2 linked regions of the Oreochromis niloticus genome follow. The protein of the gene in region 1 binds, or shares a complex with, the protein of each later gene. Links are inferred from orthologs where the notes say so. Each region holds a gene or a part of one and is shown on either strand. Other genes may lie near its edges.

Region 1 (8,576 bases):
CAGCAGCTCTGTCTCCTGCTGGACACATCTGTCAACAGTCATCTGTGATTTCTGATCATTTCCACCTTCATGGCTCGCCTCCTCTGCTGTGATTCACCTAAAAACTGGCCGAAAATCAAGAAAAACTCTTAAATCTGCTTGGAGTGAATCCTTCAAACTCAGTAGATTTTAGGTACTGCAGCTTTATAAATATGATCAAAGAAAATACAGAAACTGCAGAGGAATTTGAAAAAAGTAGCATATAGCAAGTGATCAGATATATTTTTGAATGCCTCTTCTTTACTGCTAAATACAGTTAGAAGCAAAAAATCTTTAGCCCCATTGTGTATTAGGTTTATTGGCATAAATTCAGTGTCCAGCAGGCTTATCACCAAAGCCCACACTGCACACTGAAATAGCTGCCAAATGGGCCTTTATTATGGAAGAAGTTTGTCTAGCTTTGTCTAGTAAATTCTGCATAAAACAGCACCTCAAAGTTCGTAACTATAAGTACACTTCTTTCTAACTGCCTTAGTCAAGTCCCGCCACAGCTTTTCCATATTAATGGTTCAGACAGCCACTATCTAGGACTTCCTCTGAAACCTAAAGCCAATATTCTGAGGTATGCTTGGGTCACTGTACTACTACTGAAAGGTCCATCAATGCTTGCGCATCAGCGTCCTCACTGACAGCAATACATTTTGGCGACCGTGGCTCAGGAGATTGGGAAGCTCATCTGTAACCGGAAGGTTGCCAGTTCGATCCCCCTGCTCTCTCTGTCCTGGTCGTTGTGTCCTTGGGCAAGACACTTTACCCTACCGCCTACTGGTGTTGGCCAGAGGGGCCGATGGCGCGATATGGCAGCCTCGCTTCTGTCAGTCTACCCCAGGGCAGCTGTGGCTACAACTGTAGCTTGCCTCCACCAGTGTGTGAATGTGAGAGTGAATGAATAGTGGAACTGTAAAGCGTTTTGGGTGCTTAGAAAAGCGCTATATAAATGCAATCCATTATCATTATTATTATTTTCTTCCAGGATTTCTGATACTTTATTTACTACATGTTGCCAGTTGTACTTTGTAGACTTTTGCATTACATGAGGAATCAAAGAAGTCTCTGACATCACTGAGCCACCATCATGCATTACTATAGGTCAGTTCATTCTTCCTTCTCCAGACACATTTCTGACCCATAGGCCAAAAGTTCTAGTTTTGTTTTGTCCCCCCCCCCCCCCCCAAAAGATCTGTGCCATCATTTCAATCATCATCAGTAATGAGTCACAGCACTTCGATAAATCATATGACCTTGGGAATAAATTCAGGAACAGGTTTCATTTCAGCCAGTGAAACTGCTAGTCAGTGACTGAAACTGGCAGGGCTCTCTTAGGTTTGGCCCTGTTACATAGTGCCAGCAGGCAAATGACAGGAAATGAAGGAAAGATGGATGCAGCAAAGGTTCCCAACAGACTTCTACCCGCAGACATTGTGGTTTATTGTTGTCTGAGCCAAAGGAAATTATTATGAAGTAGTAAAATTAAAGTTAAAAAGTGTTGTTAAATGTCTTTATCCTGCCAGGTAGCATAATAAGTTTCCTGCCAGCAAGCAGAATAAACACCAAGCAGCATCTTTTGGGACCAGTTTTGATTATTTATACTGGGATGAGGGCTTTTTGAGCAACCTCCAGGGTACCACAAAACCCCCTCTTTTACCCTACAGGGAGAGCCAACTGGAGCCTCCTTTCAGGAGGAGAATAAAGTATAATACTGATATCCTACTTTAAGGAAAAACAAACAAAAACCAAACAGCAGCATACACTTAATGCTCCTTTCCCAACAGACTCTCTATATGCCCCTTGTCTGCCACACAAAGTCGTTTATTTTTCCACTTGTTGATTGTCTGCTGCTTCTATGACCTGCGTGGATTTGGTTTATCTGGTCCAAATATGTCAGTGAGGATGACTGTTTAACCTGCCAGCCTGTTTTTCCTGTTTGATTACCTTGGTTGGCTCCTCGTTTTTCCACCACAGAGCAGACAATTCCAATGTTTCTACAACTACCAGCAGACAGAAGAAGATGCTTTTTATTAAAGCTGTTCTGGAAACCCGAAAAAGTAAACAGAACTTAAACATTTTCTGCTAGAAAAGCTAATTACTTTCTTTCACCTGTCCTTTTGGCTTAGGTTTGTATAATTTTAAATTATCAGGTACCTAACAAGGTATTTTAAAACCATGTTATCTTAACACTGTTAGATTCATATTCAGCACATATGCTGTGTTTTTTGTTCACAATGAACAATCACTCAAAGAAAACACACACATTTCCAATTTTTTTCCAGTAAACTTGCCATTTGTTTCTTTCAGATTCAGTTGAGGTTGTTGTAATTTAGCAGAACAAATGCCATCCATAAGTTGCATTTTCCCAAAGAGATATTAGTCAGTTAGCTACTATCTAACAAAAATATAACTTTTCAATATGGCTGTACTGATTGTGAAATTCTGAGCTGATACTGTCAAAAGAATTTGGCCTAAATCCTATCCTCATGTATCCATAGTTTATTTAAATGTACTTTTCTTGTTATCTGTTCCCACTTCTGTGCTATAAACACTAACATCTTTTTAAAAGACTTTCACCTTTTCATCACACTGCCTTTGAACTCTCCAGCAGATAAACTTAACTGTTTATCTTACTTACTAGTAGATGGATATCAGCTGTCTTGCAGCTGCATCCCATCTCGCAACTTAACACGTGAATATTGCTGATGAATATTTTGCCATACATGATGTAGATGTTCCCGCTGCTGTTTGGGAATGGTGCATATGTGAGAGAGACGAGTGACCCCTTCATACAGCTTCTCTGGAATCCCAGGAATGTATGGTGTGCCCAGCACCAACCGCACGACCTTACAAACACAAACCCCCCCCCCCTTCCTCTCACTGCACACTCACGAAGCACAACACAAATGCAATCCATAACATGACATCCGCCAGCCAAGAGGAAAAGAAGTGGGAGGGGAAAAAAGAAACTAAAAAGGAGAATTCATTCATGCACGAGAGAGAGAGGGAGCAGCTTAATATCCTCTTTTCCTGCTTTAGCCTGCCCACACAAACAATTCAGTCCTCCTTCACAGGTGAAAACGGAAGTTCACCGTGATCGTGATTATCAGGAACCAGCTGAACTTATCAGAAAGCAGACTGGCAGACTCAGCGTTACCAGAACTCGTTTGTCTCCTGGGTGTGCAAATGAGCCATCCTGTGAGCGTATGAGATCTTAGCAAAGGAAGACAGTCTGAACCTAAAGTTAGCTTCACATTTTTATTGTTTAACAACTTTCACAAGTGGCCCTCAGATTTTTGATTTCACAGTTCAGACACGATTCACTCTAGTCTACGCTTTGAGTGATTCATGAGCTAACACACAAACACAAGGAGAGCAGACTGAAGGAGGCTGCTCCGGTATCCTCACACCCGGACTGGCCGGACCGACCGGAGCGCAGCTAACGCTAGCCTCCGTTAGCGGCTCAGCGGGGAGCGGAGACGCGCCACAAGCTAACCCACAGCACGGTCCGGTAACCGAAGTCAGAGCCACGCGGGGATACTCACCAGGGATGTCCCAGGAAAACTTTTTCTGCCGACCCCGCGACGTACTTGGAAACTTTCCAAAAATCAGAAGGGCGGGAGCGGACTAACTTCAGGGCAAACTGTGTGATATTAGCCGAAGTCTTACTTTCCCGACGCCATGTTGAACAGAGGAAACTGGAACATCCGGGAAACTGAAACCAATCTCCATGGAAACCGAGTTAGCAACGGGCTACCGGGAGACGACTCTTCTTCGGCTTTTTTTTCTTCTTCTTTGTGGTTGGTAAACATTACCGCCCACCGGTAGACTAATACTGTACCTTCCTCCCAGCTGTTTCTTACATTTGTAGTGCACGTATTATTTATTAATGCAATTCACACTACTCTCTTTTACCATCTCAGTCTCACTTTTTACTTTACTTTAACTTAACCTAATTTTTTTATTCTTTCTTTTCTTTGTTTTTTAATCACAGTGGAAAATGTTTACATATAACAATCTCACAGGCCGTCACTATGCGCCTGTGGCACTTTAACTTTGTTCTTTATTTATTGTAGACTGCACTATTTTTATTCTTTATCCCGCTGTTGTAACACAATAAATTTCCCTTGTGGGATTATTATGTTCACATATGGCTTCTTCTTTGCATGACAAAGATTTGTCTGCACTCTCCATATAATCTTACATCCAGCTGCTTTAAAATCACCAGCTAACCTAACATGCATGTCTTTGGACTGTTTGAGGAAGCTGGAGTAACTGAAGAGATCCCACAAGGGCACAGGGAGAACATCTAAACTCCACACAGAAAGGTCTCAGCCAACCCGGGAATTTGAACCTTTCAATAAACCCCATTGCTAACTACTTCAGAATGCTTTCCATAACAGAACTATTTAGGTTTATATCTTGAGAGTTAATGTAAGTTTAAAACAAGAGAAACAAACCAAAAAATAAATTTTTTAGAAGAAATGTATTGATCTCATGGCAGTAGAGTGTTTTTTAATGTTACAGTGACTAAACACAGTGGTACAAAAAAGTCTGTTTTACAAATGTAGCCAATCGTCATATTTGCGGGACTGATGGATTCTCATACAGGGGCACCTCCAGAATTTTTTCATAGGGGGCCACTAAAAATACTGGGATGCCACACCAAAAACAGAATTTCCAGTTTTACCATGCTGTCATCAAATATATTTTTTTGGGGGGGGGGGGCTAGTTTTGTTTTGTTTTTTTAATCTACCATGTCGAAGCAATGCAGGCACACATACGTACATGCATTAATATGTAGAATATGCAGTAAATTCCTATAAAACAGAGACATTTCAATCAATAAGAGGGACAAACAACTTCACTATGAGCTCATATGGTAGGTTTTATCTTAACTTTAGTAAATAAAACTGCGGCAAGTAGGGTTGGTTAATGATTCACCAGGAGAGATGGGAACAGAAGTTGCTGATACAGGGCCAGGCTCCTATTGTGTGATGCAGAGGTGGTGATGGATAGGTGGGACTACAGCCTTGAGAACAGCTATTTGGATGCAATTCGACTTTCTGTGCCAGATAAAGTTGGAGCTCATGGATCATAGCGACGTCACTCCTCGGTATAAGTTCAGGGACAAGTCATCGCCTTGCTGCTGTTGCTCCTGTAGGAGATGAGGAAAGCAAGGAAGGTGGGCGAAGAGATAGGAATGAGGTAGCTGCACAGTGAGGAGTGCAGATATCTGACAGTCCGCAGGTGGTGGTGATCATCCAGAAGAAGCTCGGGGCAACAGAGGGAAAGTTCAGGGTTAGTTCGGAGGAGCTAAAGTAAATGCTAAACTTTCACAAAGAAAAACTGTTTTTCTCTGTGGAGGTTTAGCACCGCACTGCAGTGAGAACAGCCCAGACAAGCTTTGTCTGAACCAGAATATCCTCACCTTATCCCAGAATAACACATCTGCATACTCTGGGGATCTGTGAATTCACCATTTTCATCACAGCTGGTTCAGAGCTGCTCACGAGTTTGTTAAAGGGGACTGCAACAGTATGCTTACCATCCAGAAAAAAACACCCCAGTGATGCCAAGCAGCACCGCAGTGCAGTGAGAACGACCCAGAGAAGGTGTCTCTGTTTGGATGAAGAGGAATTAAAACTGTATAAACAACCATATTCATTAATCTGCCACTGAAAGCCCTGATTTTGCTATGTTGCCATCTGAAGACAGAGACTTTTAAAAAACAAATTAAGCTTTGGTTATCCTCGCATCTGTGATACAAAAAAAAGCTCTTTGTATTAATCAGTGTTTGGCAACAACAGGGGAGGAGATACTGAGGACAAATCTCATGTCTGGTAATGTGCAGTACAACACACTGACAAACATGTAAAATATATTTAATTTTGGTCAACATACACTCATCATAATATGTTCTGTGAAAAAAGTAACATTAAAGTTCCCATTGCTTGTATTTTTAGTCTTTGTGGGTCAGCAGCTCTGTGTTCATTGTTTCCTGGCTAATGAATCAATACACTGCACTGTAATTATTATTAATATTATTTTTCCCACAAAAATACTGTAAAAAATATCAGAAATGTACAATAATAATCAATTTTTTGTGGTATTTAAAAAAATAAAATCATCTTAATTAAAATACAGATGTTTTAAAGTTACATGAAAAAAATGTCTGTTTTTACAGATTTCTTTTTTCGAATAAAGATGTTTAAATCTGTATAAACAACAATATTACCTAATAATAAGTTCAAATACTCACCAAGTAATTAATCCAATTAGAACAGGAGAAAAGTACTGTTGAATTTTACTTCGTACGTTCTGCAATTTTGTATTTTTAGTCCATTCATAATGTGAAAAAATGATTTACTACACAAATAAACCAGTTTGTTAAACTAGTAACTGGGTTTACATTTTTTTTTTTAAATAATTAAAAAATTACAGATCTTTTCTAGCACATACTGACTGATCATATTTGATTCCACATAAAATCTTAAGTCTATTTAGTTGATATGATAAGAGTGAAATATTCCATGAACCATGTAAACTCCTGTTTACTGTGCTTTCAGCCTGAGCAACTGTTTTATTTTGTAAATCTAGATACTGCTCCATATTTGTGGGACAGCAGCAAGTTATTAGTTTCCTTGTATGTGATGATCTCATCAGTATTTCCTGTGCTGCTACAGATGAAACTACACAACAGGGTAAATTACATTATGATAGCTTGACCTCAACCAGCAACATCAGTGAAGCAGAACTCAATAAAAATGATTAAATAATGTATAATAATCCTGTGATAGACTGGCCAGCTGTCCAGAGTGTACTCCGCCTCTCACCCTGTGACAGGCTCCACCGTCACTCTGATCTGGATGAGAATTAATGAATGAATGAATGAATGGATGGATGGATGGAAGAACATATTTTTCTGCAGTATCACTTTCAACTTTAGCTATTTCTTTCAACTAAAGAAAAATGTAAATCCATAATGTAAGTAAATTTTTACTTAACATTGAGAATTAATTGCAACTTTTAAAAACATTTGTAATCTTGTTTAAAAACAAGCAAACGGCTCCATTACGTCATTAACCACATTTCCCTCATCACTGTAAAAGCCAGGATATTACCTCAGTGTCTTTGCAGTTTGATCTGCACAACACTGACCTCTAGTGATCAAATGCACACACTGCTCTGTCAAGCTTTGCTCTGTGGCGTCCTCGTCACGGTGAGAGGTTTTCAAAAAGGCCTGATGAGTGAGGAGACAGTTTTCTTTTTGTTCCTCACACACTGATGGAGTAATGTCATTGTTAGTTTCAGAAATGATAAAAATAATAATGAAATTTGTGAACTAAACTGTGAAGTTTTATTTTATTCTCAAAGATGTACGTTTCTGTGTATGTTTTATTATTGAACAGCAAATTTTCATATGACGCATTTACCAGATTTCTTCTGCCAATACTAAGTGCATACACCTCTTCTGTTCCAGGTTTCATTGTCTGGAGATGAAGCTATCACGTCCCCCCTTATTTTCTGTCATATATTTACTGTTACAGTAGTTGGTGCTCATATTAAATGTCCCTGAAACCTAAACACACGGAGCTGGAAATGAGCAGGAAAGGTCACCTTTGAGAGTTTCTCTCGGTGGAAACATCTTCCCATTTAGATAGTCTTGCTTACTGTATTAATATGTTGAGAAAAACCTACATTAATCTCTTAACCTGCTAACCTCTAATGACAATCAGCTGATTATAACTTTACTTGCAGCTTTAGGAGAAAGTTATATAACTAGAGGTTTCATTGAGCGAGAGTTTGATCATTTATTTCTGCAGTGGAAGCAAATTTGTTACATTTCAAATAGCAGCTTTTTTGTCCCATTGCAAATTTGGATCAATACTTTGCTTCTTTTCTGGTGGTTCTCCAGCTTATTTACAGGCTTTGTTTGTCCTGGGAGACGTGTGTGTTTGCTGAGCATGCTCCTCTTTTCCAGCTTTGCTTCTGCATGTATAGATAAATCTATATTTACTATTTTTTTATACAGAGAAATCACATTTGTCCTTTAAAATTCCTGCTTTTCCTCTCATTGTGGTTTCTGACTCTTAGGGAAAACATATAGTTAATCAGATCTCGGCTGTAAGTGTTTTATAAACTGAGAACAGATGGTTTTCTCATGTTTCACTGCATTAAAGAAGTGTGGAGTAAAGGCACCAACATCTGAGGGACTACAGGTTGGACTCTGTGACTAAAATGTGAAGCTGCTCAAACAGCTTTCCTAAATGAATCCACAGCTCAGCAGTTTGTCGAGCCGCCTCGCTGGTTTACATCCTCTTATGAGGTAATGAAAGCCCTGAATGGATGGTACAAAGCAGGACTTCATCATCCTTCCAGTGTTCACTGGGCATCTAATTACTTTAACAGGGGGTCAAACGTATTGGACAAAAATGAAATGTAAAACGTAGTCTGGCCTGCTTCATAGCACGTCACAAATTTCAGGTTTGGCTGCCTGTAGACTGTAATTGAAAAACCAAAAAATCAGACATTTATTGTTGTCATTT
Region 2 (8,576 bases), on another chromosome or scaffold:
TCTATTAGATAGATATGATACAAACCACTGCAGTGCAGTACCTGTAATACCTACAGCATGTTCTAATCGCTCTAATAGGATATTATGGTCAACAGTATCGAACGCAGCACTGAGGTCTAGCAGGACAAGCACAGAGATGAGTCCACTGTCAGAGGCCATAAGAAGATCATTTGTAACCTTCACTAAAGCTGTTTCTGTGCTGTGATGAGCTCTGAAACCTGACTGAAACTCTTCAAATAAGCCATTCCTCTGCAGATGATCTGTTAGCTGTTTGACAACTACTCTTTCAAGGATTTTTGATATGAAAGGAAGGTTGGAGATTGGCCTATAATTAGCTAAGACAGCTGGGTCTAGAGATGGCTTTTTAAGTAAAGGTTTAACTACAGCCAGCTTGAAGGCCTGTGGTACATAGCCGATTATTAGAGATAGGTTGATCATATTTAAGATCGAAGAATTAATTAATGGCAGGACTTCTTTGAGCAGTTTTGTAGGAATGGGGTCTAAAAGACACGTTGATGGTTTGGAGGAATTAATTATTGAAGTTAACTCAGAAAGATCAATTGGAGAAAAAGAGTCTAACTTAACATCGATGGTACTAAGAGTAGCTGTAGATAATATTACATCTGTGGGATGATTATTGGTAATTTTTTCTCTAATGATAAAAATTTTATTTGTGAAGAAGTTCATGAAGTCATTACTAGTTAACGTTAAAGGGATGGTTGGCTCAGTAGAGCTCTGACTTTTTGTCAGCCTGGCTACAGTGCTGAAGAGAAACCTGGGGTTGTTCTTATTTTCTTCAATCAGTGACGAATAGTAAGATGTTCTGGCTTTGCGGAGGGCTTTCTTATAAAGCAGCAAACTATTTCTCCAGGCTAAATGATGATCCTCTAAATTTGTGACACGCCATTTCCTCTCCAGCTTACGAGTTATCTGCTTTAGGCTACGTGTTTGAGAATTATACCACGGAGTCAGGGACTTTGGATTTGAGGCCTTAGTTTTCACAGGAGCTACAGTATCCAGAGTCGTACGTAGTGAGGAGGTAAAATTATTAACAAGATAATCGACCTCTGTTGGAGTAGCGTTCAGATAGCTGCTCTGCTCTATGTTGGTACAGGGCATTGAAGATGATAACAGTGGGTGGATTATATTCTTAAACTTAGTTACAGCACTTTCAGAAAGACATCTACTTTGATAAAGTCTACTCTCCACTGCTGTGTAATCAATTATTGTAAATGTAAATGTTATCAGGAAATGATCAGACAGCAGAGGGTTTTCAGGAAACACTGTTAAATATTCAGTTTCTATGCCATACGTTAAAACAAGATCTAGAGTGTGATTAAAGTGGTGGGTGGGTTCTTTTACATTTTGAGAGAAGCCAATTGAGTCTAGTAACAGATTAAATGCGATGTTGAGGCTGTCATTTTTAGCATCTACATGGATGTTAAAATCACCCACAATAATTATTTTATCTGAGCTGAGCACTAAATCAGATAAAAAGTCTGAGAAATCAGAGAGAAACTCTGTGTAAGGCCCAGGTGGACGATAGATGATAACAAGTAAGACTGGTTTCTGAGTTCTTTCAATGCCAAAGTCAACAATTGCAAGACTAGCTACAGTAAAACAGAAACCGAGTCCACTAATCACTGATATCACTAACATCAGGACCGACTCCCAGCCAGCTCAGAGACTTCTCTGTGCGGAGGCTGCATGTTCTCCCCATGCCTGTGTGGGCTCTCTCCAGGTACATCAGCTTCACACAGAACAAAGACATGGTTGGATTTTGCCACTAAAAAAAGGGCCTCATTCACAAACAGTACACATGCAATCTTTGCATAAACAGTTCACACAAATGTGGGGTTCATCAATAACTTCATATTCTTCAAACATAGAACAGCCTCTGAGCACATGTACAAAAGAAATTATGAAGTCCTGGATAAATCTCCTAATACTGCTTAATAATAATAATAATAATAATAATAATGATAATCCTCTCTTCCTTCAGGTTATTGCATACAGTTTACACTATAAACCAAATGAATACAAGCAAAACATTTAACTGCATGTAAAGGAAAGCTTATGTGTAAGCAAGTCTAATAATAAAAGTATGAAGTTGTAAATGAACAGAAGGGGCAGGCGAATGGAAACATCTACTAGAAAAAAGATCATCACCTTACAAACAGCAGCCTGAAGGATGGCGTCAAAGCCGCCCTCCGGTGCGTCTCTATTGCGGGATACCATCTGCTTCTGCACCTCCTCGTTAAAACGGTCCACTTTGTCAGTCAGCGAGAGGATGTGGCGGAAACCAAAGCTGGGGACACAGTTGGGAAACAGCTTGTACCTGTGCAGGGTGACAGACACTGCATGTTAAGAAAATGTTTTATTTACATTTTTGGAAATTAAAAAACACAATAAGTGTCTTTAAAGGCATAAATCCTGGCTCTGACGGTTCGTTTGTGTTGAAAAGAAGCTAAAATGTTAAATATGGCGTATCTTATGATTCACTTCATATACAGTACTTGTAGACTCTTTCTAATGTAGTGAATGGGATAGAAATGAAATATGAAAGAAGGGAGATCTTTTAGCAGCAATCGCTTTAGTTTTTCCCTAAAGTGCCTTATTGTTTGTGACTGATGCACAAACACACACTCACAAAAATATCTAAACATGGCACACACACACAGCCCAGGCCATAACCTAAATGGGAAGTGATGCGCACAGAGTTAGCCGCACCTTCAGGGCAAACATCGTGTGCCACAGCTTTCTCTACTCTTTCACTTCTGCTCCCTTTCAGTTTCCCTGCATCACCAGCCCCAGGGGACCGTGGGAGTACTAGGGCCATTTTTAAGAACTACATTATTCACTCTGCCTTATAAATATTAAGAAAAAAACCCCAAAACTCTCATTCTCACAGATGCAGAGTACACAATTCAGAAAGGTGCAAAAACAGAGTGTGGCCACAGAGTAAATCACTTTCACCTATAGCTATCGAGCTCGATTCCTTTTGCCACCACCTACCCGTTGCATGGGTTCTCCTGGTACTTTGGTGCCATGTAGGAGAACGGGGACATGTTTTTGTCCACAAATGAGCCGAAGCCTAGCCTGAAATTGCTGGTGAGCTTGCCCATCTCGTGGGCTAGCTTAGTGCCCAGGTTGCGAATGGTGTCCAGATCATCTTTCATTGAAAGAGAGAGGTCCATCAGGTAGTAGAGATCCACCGGGTAGTCCTCCACCTGCCGCACCTGCAGGCTGAACCACGTCTGGTCTCCTGCATGAACAAATCAGTGAGCTTTGCATTATTTATAAGAGATGCTTTTAATGCTTTTTTTTTTTTTTGCATGTTCCAAGGTTATTCCGTATCCTAAATATGAAATGTTTATGATTCTTACCGGGACGCAGGCTGAGAGAGATCTTCTGTGGCATAATCTGGACCACATCATACTGGGTCGACCCAGACCCTTTTGAACTCAGGGGTATGTTCTGCAGGACGTTGATGCTGCTGGTTAGGTATTCAATGAAGTGTTCGTCACAGCCTCTCTTCAACAGGTTTTGACTAAAGTCACACCGTGATGTCAGACTGCGCCCCCTTCCAAAATCCTGCAAGATGGAAAGCAACAAATCTCAGATTCCTGATTACTCGTACTGCTTCCAAAAGGTCCCCCAAAAAAGTGAAAAGTGGTGAATGCATCCCCCACTTCATGGACCTGTACAAGTAAATGTACATGATGAAAATAATCGATCAACTAAGCCATACCTCTTGTGCGCACCAGGCGCAACTGGGGTGAATCAGGAGGCATTCTTCACAGGAAGTAGCACTGCCACTCATGCACATGTTGAGACCTGAGGGGGGACGGGAACAGAGCTGAGGCTAGATTTCCACTTTCATCCCTATCACGGTTGTACTTCTATTTCAAATTAATGACCAAGGAAACAGACCCTAAGGTTAAAAAAATTAATAATAATAAAGCCCATATTGAATCCAAGGTTAAACAGGACCTGTCATGCTCGTTTCCATCTGATGCAAACATTGATTTTTGGGGATGTAAAAAAATCTGATATGAAAATCTCAGCCAATATTCTTAATATGCTGCTTGTTCATATGAAATCATGGAGGCACTGATTTAGCAGCTGAACATCAGCTGGAGTGATCATGGCCTTGGTGAGCTCTTAATGAAATTTATCAATAGTTTCAAACATTTGTCTGACTGACTGTGTGGCCATTCAAAGGTAAGCGTGACATAAGGCTGATTTTCTTGGCACTGAATGGGGAAAAAATAACAAAAAATCTTGTCTTGCTCCAATTTTATTTCCACAGTAGCTTTGCATGATTCACAGTTAAAAATAATCCTTATCTATCCTAGGCCATGTAGTCCTTTCGTTTAACACTGTCAGGGGCTTCGCAGTGTTTTTTCGAGGAGCTCCAGCTCCGCGTGTGTGATCCAAACTCAGCCCACCGGCCGCTGCAAAAACAGGCAGTGATTTGTGTTGAGAAGAAGACAGTCCTGCGTCCTACCTCTGGCACTGGGCAGCACTGTTTGCAGAAGCATGCAGCATAGAGCCGCCTGCCACATCCACGTCCCGAGATTCCACATGGTATCCCTGTTGGTGTTTTTAGAGGTTTCGGGAAACACCGGTTTCGTATCTCTTCAGGAACCGATGGCGCTGTGTTACTCTCCCATCAGCGCGCTCACCAGAATAAGTCCAGCTGATCCGTGCAAATCAAAACAGTGTGGCGTGTTTAGACCATTTCACATCCACGGACACGCGGGTTTAGGGCTCATCACAGTGAAGGATCCGTGTGAGGTGAGGGACAGCAGTTCCATTGTCTTCAAGTGTGAGAGTCAGCGCTCTGCACCGTCCTGTTGATCTGCTCTCCTAACTCAGGCTTCGGTGTCTGACGCCTCTGTAGCCTTCCACGTCTACTCTACCATCAGCTGACAACTGCTCTCACACTTCAGCGTGGACTTCATGCCACCTCTCCTTTCAAATCCACCCAAAGATCACTAAAAGAGGAAATAATCCCGTCCCAAATTAGATGAACAAACCTACGCTCAACTGTGATTTTCCTTTCTAGATTTGAGCGTTGCTTTCTCGGTTTGCTTCCAGCTGGAATCTCCGCCCACTCCCCGCCAGGGATTACTTTAACCCGTTCACTGCCTTTTGGAGTTGTCGGCACCACGGTATGTCGACCACGTGGAGACATCTAGCGGTGAATGCACAGAAAGCACCAGATGGGAGGCATCGACTAGGAAACACTGCTCTTGTCATAATGCTCTCCTGTTATACCGAGATGCAGCCCAGGGGCGGATCTCGAGAAATCTTCTTAGGGTGGCATGGAAATCAAATGAGGTGACAAAATCCCAGCCTTGTTTTTTTAAACCCACGTAGGCAGGTGTTACATATGGTTAAAATGATTCAAATGCAGTAAGTATACACGTTTCATATAAATATAGTCTATAACTTAATTACTTTCTGTAGCCCACATAGTTAAACATTCAGTTGCATAAAACGTGAATTTTGAGTTTATGTACTGTATAGCCTGTATAATAAATAAATATGTAGCCTAAAAAGCATAAAATCCAGAAAGCAACCCAACATGGGGCAGTTCATTTACAAACACAGGTCTAACTTAAGTTTCACCTTTTTGTTAGAAAAAAATCAGATTGTTACATGCTTAAATTCACACAAATTTACCCTGTCATGAACAAAAATGTAATTTTGTAATTTTTCATGATTTGTTGGGATTATATTTTGAACTCTGAGGTCCAAAATATAATTGGCCATTTTTGACTACTTTTGATTTTACATTTGTATTTCACCTTTAAATTGTTTTGTTTTATTTGATTTTTTACCTCAACTTGCTTGGTATCATTCTTTTCGGCACAACCTCACGTGTCTGAATTTACAGTTATTTTCTCATTGACATTCTGTATTAACACAACTGATCTGAAATCACACAAAAACATGAAATCCTAGTAGTATTTTTTAAATGTAAAACCCATAGACATATTTAGTAAATTTATTTCATAACTTAAAATGCAAATATAAATAGGATATTTTGAAAACTTATGCATAAATTTTGTAAACAATAAAGTTACATGCAACTATTTATCTAAAAATGTAGCCAACGCATCTGGTGTTGGTTTTTTGTTGTTGTTGTTGTTTTTTAATTTTATACAACAATTTAAAAATACTTCTATAACTAAAATAAGAGAACAATCAGGTGTCACAATAAGATTTCCCACAAATTATTTGTGCCAGTAAAAACACAATACAGAAGAGACCACCACAGGGATAAACCCTGCGGGCCTGACAACAGGTGTATCACTCTTCTGGTTTTCCACCTGGAGACAGTGTTTACATTGAAATCTGCCTTTGTGACATTCATTAGTGCCCTCACTGCTATACAAAACAAAAACAAAGACTACACAAGACAACACAATGCACTAACTATATGCTAAACGTCAAAAATCTCTCACATCTCAAAACTCGCGCTCTGTCACTCTCCCTCCCTGGCTAGCTCTGTCTCACTACCGTCACTCCCAAAGCTTTCCTCTCTTCCTAAACAACCAAACCCTGTGTTGCCGGTTTTTTTTCTTGGTCGACAGGGTACATTTTTCCACCAATAGGAAAGAGGCTATGTTTTATTTCTTTACTGTTTTCGTGCTGTCATTAGAAAAACGCTTTTCTTTTTCTTTTTCTTTTTTTTTTTTTTACCATGACGATAGTATTTAGAAAAAAATCATAGCTCAGATAAGGATTTAGTGGTCTGTCATTAAAATTTAAAAACTGGTGTATACTTTTAAGTACGAACTTTCAACAAGCTGAAATAGAGATTCACCGTGGCTGCAGCTTGTTATGTCAGCTTAAATCACTCATGTGATTTGGAGGTGCAGCGTGTCCGTGGACCCCAGAGGATTCACCTTCCTTCCATTTCCAGAGCGTAACAACCAGCCGCCTGTGTGAAATGTGAAATGCCCATGGTTTTGATTCAAAATGTGCTCTGATGCAATCATAGGCATCGGTTGCTACTGGAAACAAGAATAAGAAAGCGCGATGGGCGGAACCATTTGTTAATGGTGGAGGTGGGAAACACTATGCAATATATTCAGTTTTAGAATTTATATTCAGTGTTAACTGTAGCTAGGCTACAAGTATTAATGCTGTCCTATTTTAATAAACAACATGTCATATGCAAAACTAGGGTGGCACTAGGGGTGGCAAGGGATCATTTTAGGGTGGCACAGCTCCTCAGCTTTCTTCTAATTGGCTGCTCCTCACAAACAAACGTTTTAACTGGCAAATTGGTGCGTGAGTATCAAAAATACCCACCTTTAGTGATATAAGGACACACCTATACTTGAATATATACATTTTCACTGTTGACTAGCCAGCCTTCATTTCAGCATCAGTGTTTTCAATCCCTGCATGCACGACCCGTCTTCTTTTTTTTTTTTTTACACATCAGTTCTGGACATTGTAGCAGTCGTTCTTTTTAACATGTAGCTGAGATCAGGTAAGTCTATTTAGCTACAGTCTCGCTTGTATTGGACTTTACTTTGTACATGGACTAATGCAGGGGTGTCCAAAGCCCGGCCCGCGGTCCATTTTTACGGTGGCCCCTAGAGACAAAGCACGTACAAACTCCAAAGCACATGCAAACTCCAAAACACATGCAAACTCCAAAACACTTGCAAAATCCAAAACACTTGCAAAATCCAAAACACTTGCAAACTCCAAAACACTTGCAAACTCCAAAACACTTGCAAAATCCAAAACACTTGCAAACTCCAAAACACTTGCAAAATCCAAAACACTTGCAAACTCCAAAACATATGCAAACTCCAAAACACTTGCAAAATCCAAAACACTTGCAAAATCCAAAACACTTGCAAACTCCAAAACACATGCAAACTCCAAAACACTTGCAAATTCCAAAACACAACGGAAGTGCTCCAGGACGCTAGGGGCAGTGTTGAGCTTTCGTTACCTAGTAACTACACAAGCCAGGAAGTACCAATGACCGGATTTGGGCTCTATCCCAATTCAGGGTCTGCAGCCTTAAAGGCGACATTTTAAGGACGATTATGTCACAGCGAAACGACGAAGGCTGTCCCAATTCAAAGGCTGCTCGAAATGCGGCCCTCAAATGCGTCCTTAATTTCCCTGAATTTTAAGGATGGGTCGGTGTAGCCTTCATGGCCCAACATATCCCAGATTTCATAGCGCGGCCGTGGTGTGGATAATTTTGCCGAAAAAAACGGCGGAAGCGGAGCCGCCAAAGAGTAAACTTTCAGAAGTAAGTACTGAATATTATGTCACTTATTTATGCGCAAATGTTTTTATAATGAAGAACATTAAAACATTACTGTTGGCCACATGTCAGCAAAGTTAAGTGACATTAGTGATGTTTGTACTAACTTGGTTTTAAAGCCTTTACTTCAAAATATATGCCGTTCAATAGTTGACTTTAATCTTACAGAGAATGTGATGATTTTATGGATAATTAAAGTCAGTCATATATCCACAAACACAACAAGCTGAAAGTCAGTGATGCTGCTCGGTTTGCAGTCCTGAAT

The links.
Region 2: the proteins of pak4 (region 1) and itgb5 are in contact, whole or in part, in a crystal structure (PDB 7S46), measured with the Homo sapiens proteins. The link is inferred for Oreochromis niloticus from reciprocal best matches to the Homo sapiens genes PAK4 and ITGB5. Residues at the interface, in NP_001014831.1 of Homo sapiens: Gly330, Ser331, Gln358, Arg359, Leu362, Thr404, Lys442, Ser443, Asp444, Asp458, Phe461, Leu475, Val476, Gly477, Thr478, Pro479, Tyr480, Trp481, Met482, Glu507, Glu512, Phe516, Asn517, Glu518, Pro519, Pro520, Met524; in NP_002204.2 of Homo sapiens: Ser762, Arg763, Ala764, Arg765, Tyr766, Glu767, Met768, Ala769, Ser770.

Annotation. Positions count from the first base shown.
Region 1 is NC_031979.2:34,929,296-34,937,871, reverse strand, and holds the start of pak4 (serine/threonine-protein kinase PAK 4), read right to left. Parts: upstream 4,419-8,576; 5' UTR 3,573-4,418; intron 1-3,572. UniProt on the Homo sapiens protein: Serine/threonine-protein kinase that plays a role in a variety of different signaling pathways including cytoskeleton regulation, cell adhesion turnover, cell migration, growth, proliferation or cell survival.
Region 2 is NC_031987.2:31,871,175-31,879,750, forward strand, and holds the start of itgb5 (integrin beta-5), read right to left. Parts: upstream 5,133-8,576; 5' UTR 4,590-5,132; coding exon 4,511-4,589; intron 3,838-4,510; coding exon 3,752-3,837; intron 3,595-3,751; coding exon 3,387-3,594; intron 3,266-3,386; coding exon 3,016-3,265; intron 2,339-3,015; coding exon 2,170-2,338; intron 1-2,169.